Saccharomyces cerevisiae S288C: one gene and its partner. The protein of the gene in region 1 purifies or fractionates together with the protein of each later gene. This does not show direct contact. Each region holds a gene or a part of one and is shown on either strand. Other genes may lie near its edges.

What was found.
Region 2: the proteins of SXM1 (region 1) and LHP1 purify together in Saccharomyces cerevisiae (affinity purification with mass spectrometry; 4 studies listed by BioGRID, with this or other methods). This does not show direct contact.

What each region holds. Positions count from the first base shown.
Region 1 is NC_001136.10:1,261,430-1,267,642, reverse strand, and holds SXM1 (Sxm1p), read right to left. Parts: upstream 4,320-6,213; coding exon 1,485-4,319; downstream 1-1,484. Other genes in the region: UTP5 (Utp5p), read right to left, coding at 1-172; negative cofactor 2 transcription regulator complex subunit NCB2, read left to right, coding at 745-781, 874-1,277; proteasome regulatory particle base subunit RPT3, read right to left, coding at 4,676-5,962.
Region 2 is NC_001136.10:361,337-365,619, reverse strand, and holds LHP1 (tRNA maturation protein LHP1), read right to left. Parts: upstream 1,669-4,283; coding exon 841-1,668; downstream 1-840. Other genes in the region: KNH1 (Knh1p), read left to right, coding at 1-552; 1-acylglycerol-3-phosphate O-acyltransferase SLC1, read left to right, coding at 2,037-2,948; PBP4 (Pbp4p), read left to right, coding at 3,364-3,921.

The DNA.
Region 1 (6,213 bases):
ATTTCGAGTCCTCTAAATACAGAAAATTCTCATTCCACACTGTATCAACTCCGGAGGAAGTGGCCCTTTGAGTGGGCTGTACACCAACGCGTTGCTTGTCCAAAGCTACAGTGACATAACACAAATACTGACCTGATGGGTCATAAGCGGACTGTAGAACAGGAGAATCCATCGGTAATGAACAATTATAAGGCAAATGTGTCTTTTACCCTCTTGCTAAGCCAAGTTTAAACTATATATGCTCTGCATCTATCTTTACATACATATATCCTATCCAATACTTGTTAATTTTTTCACCTCATCGCTTCAGCTGCGAAAGATTAGAAAAAGAAATGAAAAAAAATTGGATAAAATTTTTTTGTCAAGAAGCTCATCCCCGTGTTAAATGACAATCAAAGAATAAGGGGAACTGTACAACACGTTCAACCAAAACTATTGTAAAGAAATGCCACCACTATGCAGCATAGCCTGTTCATGCGAATAGTCGCCGCAAAAATTACGATCTGGTTTAATCAGCTCGGGCTCTTATCTTTGGCGTATTCCAGTATGTGCAATTAACTCTTGCACCACTTTAAAACGCCCAGCCCGCTGCACTCTCCCTCCTATATAAATGGAAGCGGTTTTTGGTCGCGCTTTTCGCCCTCTGCTCGCCTTGTCGATTTCTATCGTGCAGAGTTACCAGTATAAGGTGGGCAAGAAATCATAACGATATTTACTAATACAGTTGTACCTATTAATTAATTGATGGCTGGAGACTCCGATAATGTGTCGCTTCCCAAGGGTATGTTAGTTATATTGTTGTTGCAAAACTCAAGCTTTGATGCGGGTACTGAGCGGTTATACTAACTTAGAGAAAACACTGAATGATCTTAGCGACCGTACAAAAGATGATATCTGAAATACTGGACCAGGATTTGATGTTTACCAAGGATGCAAGAGAAATCATCATCAACTCCGGCATAGAATTCATAATGATCCTGTCCTCGATGGCTTCCGAAATGGCGGACAACGAGGCTAAGAAAACCATAGCGCCCGAGCACGTGATCAAAGCGCTAGAAGAGTTGGAGTATAATGAGTTTATACCATTCTTAGAGGAAATATTATTGAATTTTAAGGGTTCCCAGAAGGTGAAAGAAACTAGGGATTCCAAGTTCAAGAAGTCAGGTCTCTCGGAAGAAGAGCTGCTACGACAACAAGAGGAGTTGTTTAGACAGTCAAGGTCCAGATTACACCACAATAGTGTATCTGATCCGGTTAAGTCGGAGGATTCTTCTTGAATAGAAGCTTCTAAACAAAGTAATGCTATATACGAAAATAAACCACATGGGAATATGTTAAGCGCATGCATGTATGTAATAAAAACGAAGACAAGTCCAAAAAAAAAAAAGAACGAAAAAGAAACAACTTTTATATTTGTATATTAGAGTATAAACTAATATCCTTATTTCAAACTATCACATTCCACTATTTTTTTTGTGTTCTCCTCAGTGTTGAGAAACAAATTCCAGAATTACCTGCAAGGAATCTCTCTTAGATTCATCCAGATAATTTATGATTTTTTCGTACTTACCGGCATCTTCGTTTTGCAAATTCTTGAAAAAGGTATGTACTTCCTGGAAAACATTAATTTGGTCTAACACTGTCTCCTTCATATCATCATCACATTCGATAAAGTATTCTTCTTCTTCTTCTGGGGTCAGGTCTCCTTCTAAGGATTTGCCCTCGGTAACAGCATCACGGTTTCTAATTGCCTTTGGCAATGATAATGTCAATTCCACCAGTTTATTGGTCAGGTTATTTAGTAGTGGGCTGACACTATTAGGAACTTCAGGCATCTTCAAAAGGGTTAAAATGACCAGGACTTGTAATTTGATGGCGAAGACACTGTAGAACTTTTCATTAAACCAATTGGTAAAGAAATTTATAGTAAAACCTTCATTTTCCATTATTTGTAAAGTTTCGATTGGTTTAGCAAACAAATTGGCCAGTCCCAGTTTAACGATGCATTTAGAGTCCAATCCTAGCTCATCATTAGTGGATACTTTGATGGCTTTGCTGAATAATGGAATGTCTCTCATGGACAGTGCGAAGTACATTAGAATTTGCATAACATGCTCGATGTCGTAGTCAACTTCACTTTCCAGTTTAGCAGAGAGAATTTCTAGCAGAGGTTGAACATAAGTTTGATCTTGTGGGAAGCCGGTCATCACGATGGTTTCAAAAAAAATACTGTAGGCCTCAAAATAGTCCATGGCATAAGTTTGGAAAGAATCCAATATATCATGTAACAACTCCCATATTGGTGGTGCAATTTGGTTATAAAGCAGATGCGAAGAAATAGTTAAAGCATCCAGTAAGTCGACAGCTTCCGTAATAAAAGAAATTTGTGCATGAAGTACAACAAACTTGACCACGGGAGCTAAGGACTCGATTAATGGAACTTTATTCATTGACATGACCATAGTAGTCATTGTTTGTAACAATCCACTGGCCTGGATTTCCTGCTCTTGGTCACTTGCGCTGTAGGTTTCCGATGGATTTTCTACCAATGCTTGAGCAATACGTAAAAATTGTTCGACTAGGTTTGAAGCTAAATCTTTAGCAAATGGGGATAGTTCATCTGAAAATCTCTCCACCAATGCTTCCATGACTTCAGATAAGATATCGATTTCAAAGATTTTAGACAATTTCAATAGCTTTTCCATCATACCTGGAACATGAGCAGAGACCGCTGGGTGGATTTGAGGATTGGATACAATTAAACATTTAATGGCATCTGCGGCCTCAATTTGGACTGGTAAAACGTTACTGTTTAAGAAGTTGGTATATGTTAACTCAAATAATTGTGACAATATGTTCATATCTTTAAATTCTTCCGAATACAGCGCTATCGTTTCCAAACTTCTTGCAACCAAAAACATGTACTTATCCTGCGATAACAATGGCACGATGAAGTGTCCAAAAATATTCTCCAGAACGGATGGCTCATCTATAAACGAAAACAAGTTAGACAATGTTCTCAAAGCACCCTCTTCTTTAAATGCCATGTTAATATCACTGGAATTGGCATCGAATCTAGTAAAAATATCATTAATGAACGGTAAAATATTGTTCAGTTTCTCAGGACGTTTGGACCCAATCAAGAATATGAAATCTGCTGAAGCAGCATCTGGCGTAGAGCCTTCTCTGTTAATGTCAAAATAACGCCTGGTATATTCCTCTTGGTCATCTTCTAATAATTCGATGGATTGTTCATTAGCACACAAACATGGGAAGATGACGTTCTCAAAAATAATTTGTAAATGTGGCTCAATTAAAGGATAAAGTTGATCTATTGTAACACATTTCTCTAGGAATGAAATTAAGAAATACAAAGAGGAATCGGATAACCATAGTGAATTATTACCCCAAGCTTCAATATCCTTAAAAAATTCTCGAAGAATTATAGGAACAATAGTATTGAAGATATAGTCGATAAATTCCTTGGTGATGGCCTTTGTAATTTTGTTGTATCTTTGCAGGAATCTGTTTAAGTTACCGAACCCCCATTTGTTCACTTTAACCCTTTTGTCTAGGGACCTATCTGCGGGATCCAGTTCCATTACTTCGACTGGTAATGGTTTGGAACATAAATACAAATGTAGTTGCACCCATGACATAATTCTTTCAGGTTGGCTGAAGTATTGAGGCAAGTTGTTCAAACATGCATACTTGAATGACTTCAAAATGAGGTACAATATTTCATTAGATCTGTAATCCGTTTGACTACCGATATTAGAAGCTATCCCTTCCACAATAGGGAAAAGTTCTTCGATAACAGAATCAATATAATCTCTCGACCCAACCATGTCCCACCTATGAGCTTTACAAAGTTGGAACAGTAGTAGTAACCCGGGATAAATGTACGATGCGTCACCGCTCGATAATAAATTCTTGATAATAGGTGCTAAATCCCAATCTTCCTGACCAACAAGTATCCCATTTATGGTTTCAGTCAGGATAGGCCTAATGTGGTTATTTTCACAGTTTTTAACTAAAGTCTCGATTAACCTTTCCTTGATCGAAAGCTTTTCGTCAGCTTTTATACCATCTTCTCTCTTAGTATCCCATGATCTGTGAATCTTATTCTTCAAATAAATAGCAGAAGAAAGACGAACATTTAGCGCAAAATTATCATCAGACACTATATTAAGCAGAAAAGAAGTAAACCCAGGTTGCTTCTGGAACTCAAATAACTGCTGTTCTGCCTCTTTGATAATTTTTGCATCAGCAACCATAGTCTGCTCAATGCAGCTCAAAATTGCCTGTTCTTGTACCATTTCCTTTTTTGATTTATCTCCTTTGTTGTAGACGGGCGCAATGTTAAATGTTTATGACACAAATCGAATAGCAAATCTACACTGGGATGAAGCAGAGACTGCGTACTTGATATTTTGGTTGTACTTTATTGATTGAGATACTTGTTGATAGGTACTCATCTTACCATCTCATTTGGAAAAAAAAATATCACAGAAAAAAAAAAGTGAAAAACTTGGCTAGCGACGTCCGGTTGCGCGCGGAATAACGCTAAGAAACGTGATAAAAAAGTGGCGTCTGTATTTATTTCATTTAGTGTTGTCTAGATAGAAATGTACGTAATACTTTATGTAGACCTACGTTGAAGCATATATGGTAATCATTTGTAGAAGTCGAATTTATCGACGGTATTATCTGTCTTGACTTGAGTGGCGTAAGCTTCTTCCAGATCGCTTTGTAAGATGACATATCTGTTTTTCCTCACTGCTCTTAAACCAGCTTCCTGCATGATCGCTGCAATAACAGCACCTGATAGAGAGTCGTTACGAATAATAAGCGAGTCTAAGTCCGCTTCTGGGGCAAGGGACATCTTACTGGCAATGGTACCGAAAATCAAACGACGTTCACGCCTATCACGAAGTGAGGGAAACTCAATCTTTCTATCTAATCTGCCTGGTCTCAGCAAAGCTGGGTCCAATGTGTCTGCCCTGTTTGTAGCCATGATGACTTTAACGTTGGTGGATTGATCGAAACCATCCATTTGTGTCAACAACTCAATCAGGATACGCTGTACTTCACGATCGGAACCCGTTTGAGCATCAAAACGCTTTGTGGCAATGGAATCTACCTCATCTATGAATATAATGGATGGAGCATTTTCCCTGGCGAGTCTAAAGACGTCACGAACCATTCTTGGACCTTCACCAAGATATTTGTGAACAAATTCGGAGCCATTAACTCTTATGAATGCAGCTTTTGTACTATTGGCGACGGCTTTAACAAGCATCGTCTTACCGGTACCTGGTGGACCATATAATAGAACACCCCTAGGAGGGTCAATACCGATTTGCTCGTATAGATCAGCCTGAACTAATGGCAGCTCTACGGCTTCCCTGATTTCTTGCTTTTGCATATCTAACCCACCAACATCTGCATAAGTGACGTCAGGTTTTTCGTTTTCGCCCATTACGGATATGCTAGAGTCGGAATCAGGTGGTAGGATGTCAACTAAAGCATTTGAATGACGATGTAAAGCTACAGACATAGATGGCTTTAATAGTTCACGGTCTAGGGTTGATAATATTCTAACGACATAACTCATACCTGTGGTACTAGAAACAATACCTGTGTTCTGATCAATAGGTTCTAAGAATTGCCCGATAACTAATGGAACCGACTGGATTCTCTTTACTTCTTCTTGAGCTCTCTTCAATTCACGTTTCAAATGGCGTTGTTCGTCCTTAATATAGTCTTCTTGCAAAGTCAGCAGTTCATACTCTTTTTCTAATTTCTTCAATTTGAAATATATATCAGAATTCACATTAGACAGGGCACTGTTATTGTTGACTGTACCATTGAGTTGAGCCAACAATGATGCGTATGATTTGACGGCTGGTTTTTCTTCGACTGCCTTTTCGACAGGTGTCACAATACCTAGTTCCTCCATTCTTGTTGTGGTTTTTACTTTATAAATACTTGAATTTTATCCGATTGCCTCTTGTATAACTTATGAGTGAAAGGAAATAGGCAGAATTGGTTTGTCCACACACTGAGAATCTGAGCCCTATTACTTCCTATATTCATGGCTATACCCAATTACTGCAGATTTACTATTTTGCCACCTTACTTTCAGGAAAAATATGAAAGGGCACATCGCGCGCTACGAAGAGCCAAACATTAGAGAAATTTTGATTATAA
Region 2 (4,283 bases), 900 kb from region 1:
AGTGATCTGACAGACAACGAGTTCAATGCGATAATAGAAAACACCGTTGGGACGGACGGTGTTTACTTCATACAAGTCTTTGCGCAAACAGCTATCGGTTACACCATTCATTACACTAACAGATTTAAACTAAAAGGGATGATTGGTACAAAAGCCGCTAATCCGAGTATGATAACCATTGCACCAGAGGCACAAACAAGAATTACCACAGGAGATGTGGGTGCCACGATTGATTCTAAGAGTTTCACCGTTCCCTACAACTTACAAACAGGTGTTGTGAAATATGCTCCCATGCAACTCCAACCGGCTACTAAGGTAACAGCAAAGACATGGAAAAGGAAGTACGCGACCAGTGAGGTAACGTATTACTACACTTTAAGAAACTCCGTTGATCAACATACTACCGTAACACCAGGGTGGTCATACATAATTACAGCTGATAGTAACTATGCTACGCCGGCCCCTATGCCGGCTGATAATGGCGGTTGGTATAATCCACGCAAGAGACTCTCTCTGACTGCAAGAAAAGTTAATGCTTTGAGGCACAGATAATGAAATAATACAAAAAAAAAATTTATGAAAATGGACAAATCGATTTATTATATTCGTTAACATTTTTTCTGCTTAATTATTGTTATTCTATTTTTTTTTTTTTTTAAATGGATGAGCTGTATTCCATTTTAACCAGTAACGGTAATTTTTAATACTAATAAAAAAAGGAGACAAATAATATAGTATTAGTTGTAATTCATATTGTGTTTCTGTTTAGTACATATGTTAGTACATATATTCTTAATATGCTATGATAATGAGATACGAGAACCAGAAGAAACACAAGAATCACTCCTTGTGCTCCTCATCGTCATCGGCAATGGCAGAAGAGTCCTCTTTTGACTCTTCCTTGCCGTTTTTCTTCTTATTTTTGGGGAATTTAGGCAAGTTTTTCTTCTTATGGCCGTTAAAGGATCTTGATCTACCGCTGAAGTTTTTGGACTTCGAGGCCTCTCTCTGTAAATCAAACTGTTTTTTCGTCAAAACACTCAGTTTCTTACCTTCATATGACAAAATTTCGTTGGACTCATCGTCATTGGAATACGATTTCAAAAAAGCTTCACATTCTGGAATTGTCTTAAATTCCACCAAGACCGTACCATTAAATTTCTTGTTTCTGTGATCTCTTCTCAAACGCACTTGGTTGATTTCACCTAATTTTTTGAAAAAGGCTTCCAAGTTCTCCTGCAATTCAGGAATTTGGGAAGCTTCAACGTCCTCATGTGGGAAATTCATTACAGCCAAAGTCCGTTGGTTTTGCTCAATTCTGGCATTTCTGGCAGCAGTTAGGTCCAAAGGAACACGTCTCTTGACGTTCTCTCCATCAGCAGATACTTCCAAAATTTCAGAACTACGTAGTGCTTCGATAACCTTATCCACTGGTCTATATTTCTTCATACGGTTGAATGTGGCGATGGTGCTGATGGGGACCCATCCATCGTTTTTTTCCGCTGTTGTGCGCAAGAACCTGTCATATGGAAAGTTGAATTCAGAAAAGTAGAATTCCACTTGCTTTAAACATCTGTCCAAGACTTCTGGAGTAAATTCAATCACAGCAAATGAATTACGTCTTGATTGTGGTTTCTCTTGCTCCTCTTGTTGTGGTTTTTCAGACATTACTTCTTTGCAGATGCTACTTTAGTTCCAGTAGAACCAAATAGAACCCATTTTTTGGAAAAAGAAAAAAATACATCATAGCGATGAGATGCGACTCTGTGCTTTTGATTTGGTTGTAATTCAAAAATCTTGAGATATTGCGATGAGGTTGGGCTGAACACATTACACTAAGACGAAGACGAAAATTTTTTCACGGTCACGAGATGGATCTCGTGAATGATGATATCAATTATGCTTCCTTTGTTTTGTTGAGAATATGGTATGGTGTTCAAAATACTTATATTAGGAAGGGTTTAAGGTGAAGGGGGAATTCTTCAATAGAGAAGTTTAGTGGTTTCCCTCCGTCAGTGAATTCGAGCAAAAAAATAATGAGTGTGATAGGTAGGTTCTTGTATTACTTGAGGTCCGTGTTGGTCGTACTGGCGCTTGCAGGCTGTGGCTTTTACGGTGTAATCGCCTCTATCCTTTGCACGTTAATCGGTAAGCAACATTTGGCTCAGTGGATTACTGCGCGTTGTTTTTACCATGTCATGAAATTGATGCTTGGCCTTGACGTCAAGGTCGTTGGCGAGGAGAATTTGGCCAAGAAGCCATATATTATGATTGCCAATCACCAATCCACCTTGGATATCTTCATGTTAGGTAGGATTTTCCCCCCTGGTTGCACAGTTACTGCCAAGAAGTCTTTGAAATACGTCCCCTTTCTGGGTTGGTTCATGGCTTTGAGTGGTACATATTTCTTAGACAGATCTAAAAGGCAAGAAGCCATTGACACCTTGAATAAAGGTTTAGAAAATGTTAAGAAAAACAAGCGTGCTCTATGGGTTTTTCCTGAGGGTACCAGGTCTTACACGAGTGAGCTGACAATGTTGCCTTTCAAGAAGGGTGCTTTCCATTTGGCACAACAGGGTAAGATCCCCATTGTTCCAGTGGTTGTTTCCAATACCAGTACTTTAGTAAGTCCTAAATATGGGGTCTTCAACAGAGGCTGTATGATTGTTAGAATTTTAAAACCTATTTCAACCGAGAACTTAACAAAGGACAAAATTGGTGAATTTGCTGAAAAAGTTAGAGATCAAATGGTTGACACTTTGAAGGAGATTGGCTACTCTCCCGCCATCAACGATACAACCCTCCCACCACAAGCTATTGAGTATGCCGCTCTTCAACATGACAAGAAAGTGAACAAGAAAATCAAGAATGAGCCTGTGCCTTCTGTCAGCATTAGCAACGATGTCAATACCCATAACGAAGGTTCATCTGTAAAAAAGATGCATTAAGCCACCACCACATTTTTAGAGTAGTATATAGACCCAAAAACTGTAATTATCTTTTTAAAAAAGTAAAATGACTTACGAATGATTCTGATGATTTTATTTATTACGACTCATATACCCAGCGTAAGAAGTGATCAATAGACCGCTACTTTATTCGGAGAAAGAGAAAAGAACTTTCCATTGTAATGTATATATAACACCAGGCATGTGTCAAAAATGTGAGACTAAATAGAAAGAAAAATACGAGGAACAACAAATAATACGATCTTGTGCATATTTTTTCCCTTTTTTTTTTTAATTCTTTTTTTCTGAAATTTTTCATTTGTTCACTGTTTAATATCTATCCATTTTTGTTTCCGAATTTTCATTAACTTTATTACTTATTTACGATACAATTTTCCCTTTAATCTAGTACGAAATGACAACAACCTCAACAACCAGTGTAGATGGCAGAACCTCCTCGACTTTGAAGGCTACTTTATCTGCTTCAGGTCCAAATTCAAATGGTCCAACGCCCGCTGTGCTTCCTCAGAAGCCAAAATTAACAGGTTGGGCGCAGGCAGCTGCCAAAGCCCTTCCAAGGCAACAGCAACAGCAACAGCAGGCACGAAAAGATGATTCCGTGGCTGTACAACCTGCTAATACGAAGACTAAAACCATCGCATCTACCGCGCCGCCTGCTAATATAAAGGGTAGTTCCACCGCCAATGGATCATCCACAAATAAGAAATTTAAAAGAGCGAATAAACAACCTTACAATAGAGAAGAAGTTAGATCGTATATGCACAAATTATTTCAGAGCTATACCGCTGGTGAAAAAAGTCATTCAATGAAAACTTATAAGCAAGTACTATCAGAAACGGCAAGTGGCAGAGTTTCAACAGCCACTGACTGGGGTACTGTATCAAGCAGTAAAAATAAGAATAAAAAATACGGCTGTTTGTCCGATATTGCTAAAGTTTTAAGAAACCAATGAGAATATCGAAGCATCACGTTTCATAACGCAAAAAGGAGTCAAACAAAAAATGAAGTATGAAGTCAAGAAAACGAAGAAAAGAGGAAAATAGAAGAAATGAAAATATTATTTTACAAGCGTAAATAAAAATTTTATAATTCATAATGTCGAAAAATGTATACTGTGTTAAGACGCCTTTCTTTGCTTTTTCTCTTAGTCTTTATTGCATAGTTCACTTAGCCTTTCCGATGCTAGCGGCTTTTCGCATCGTTCGGAAATTAGTACCTTTCTTTTTGCCCTACAAGAAAAACTATTATACAGTGTAAATACAAGATAACAGAGACCGCTACTCAGACAGCAACTTCTAACGTTTCATCGAGACT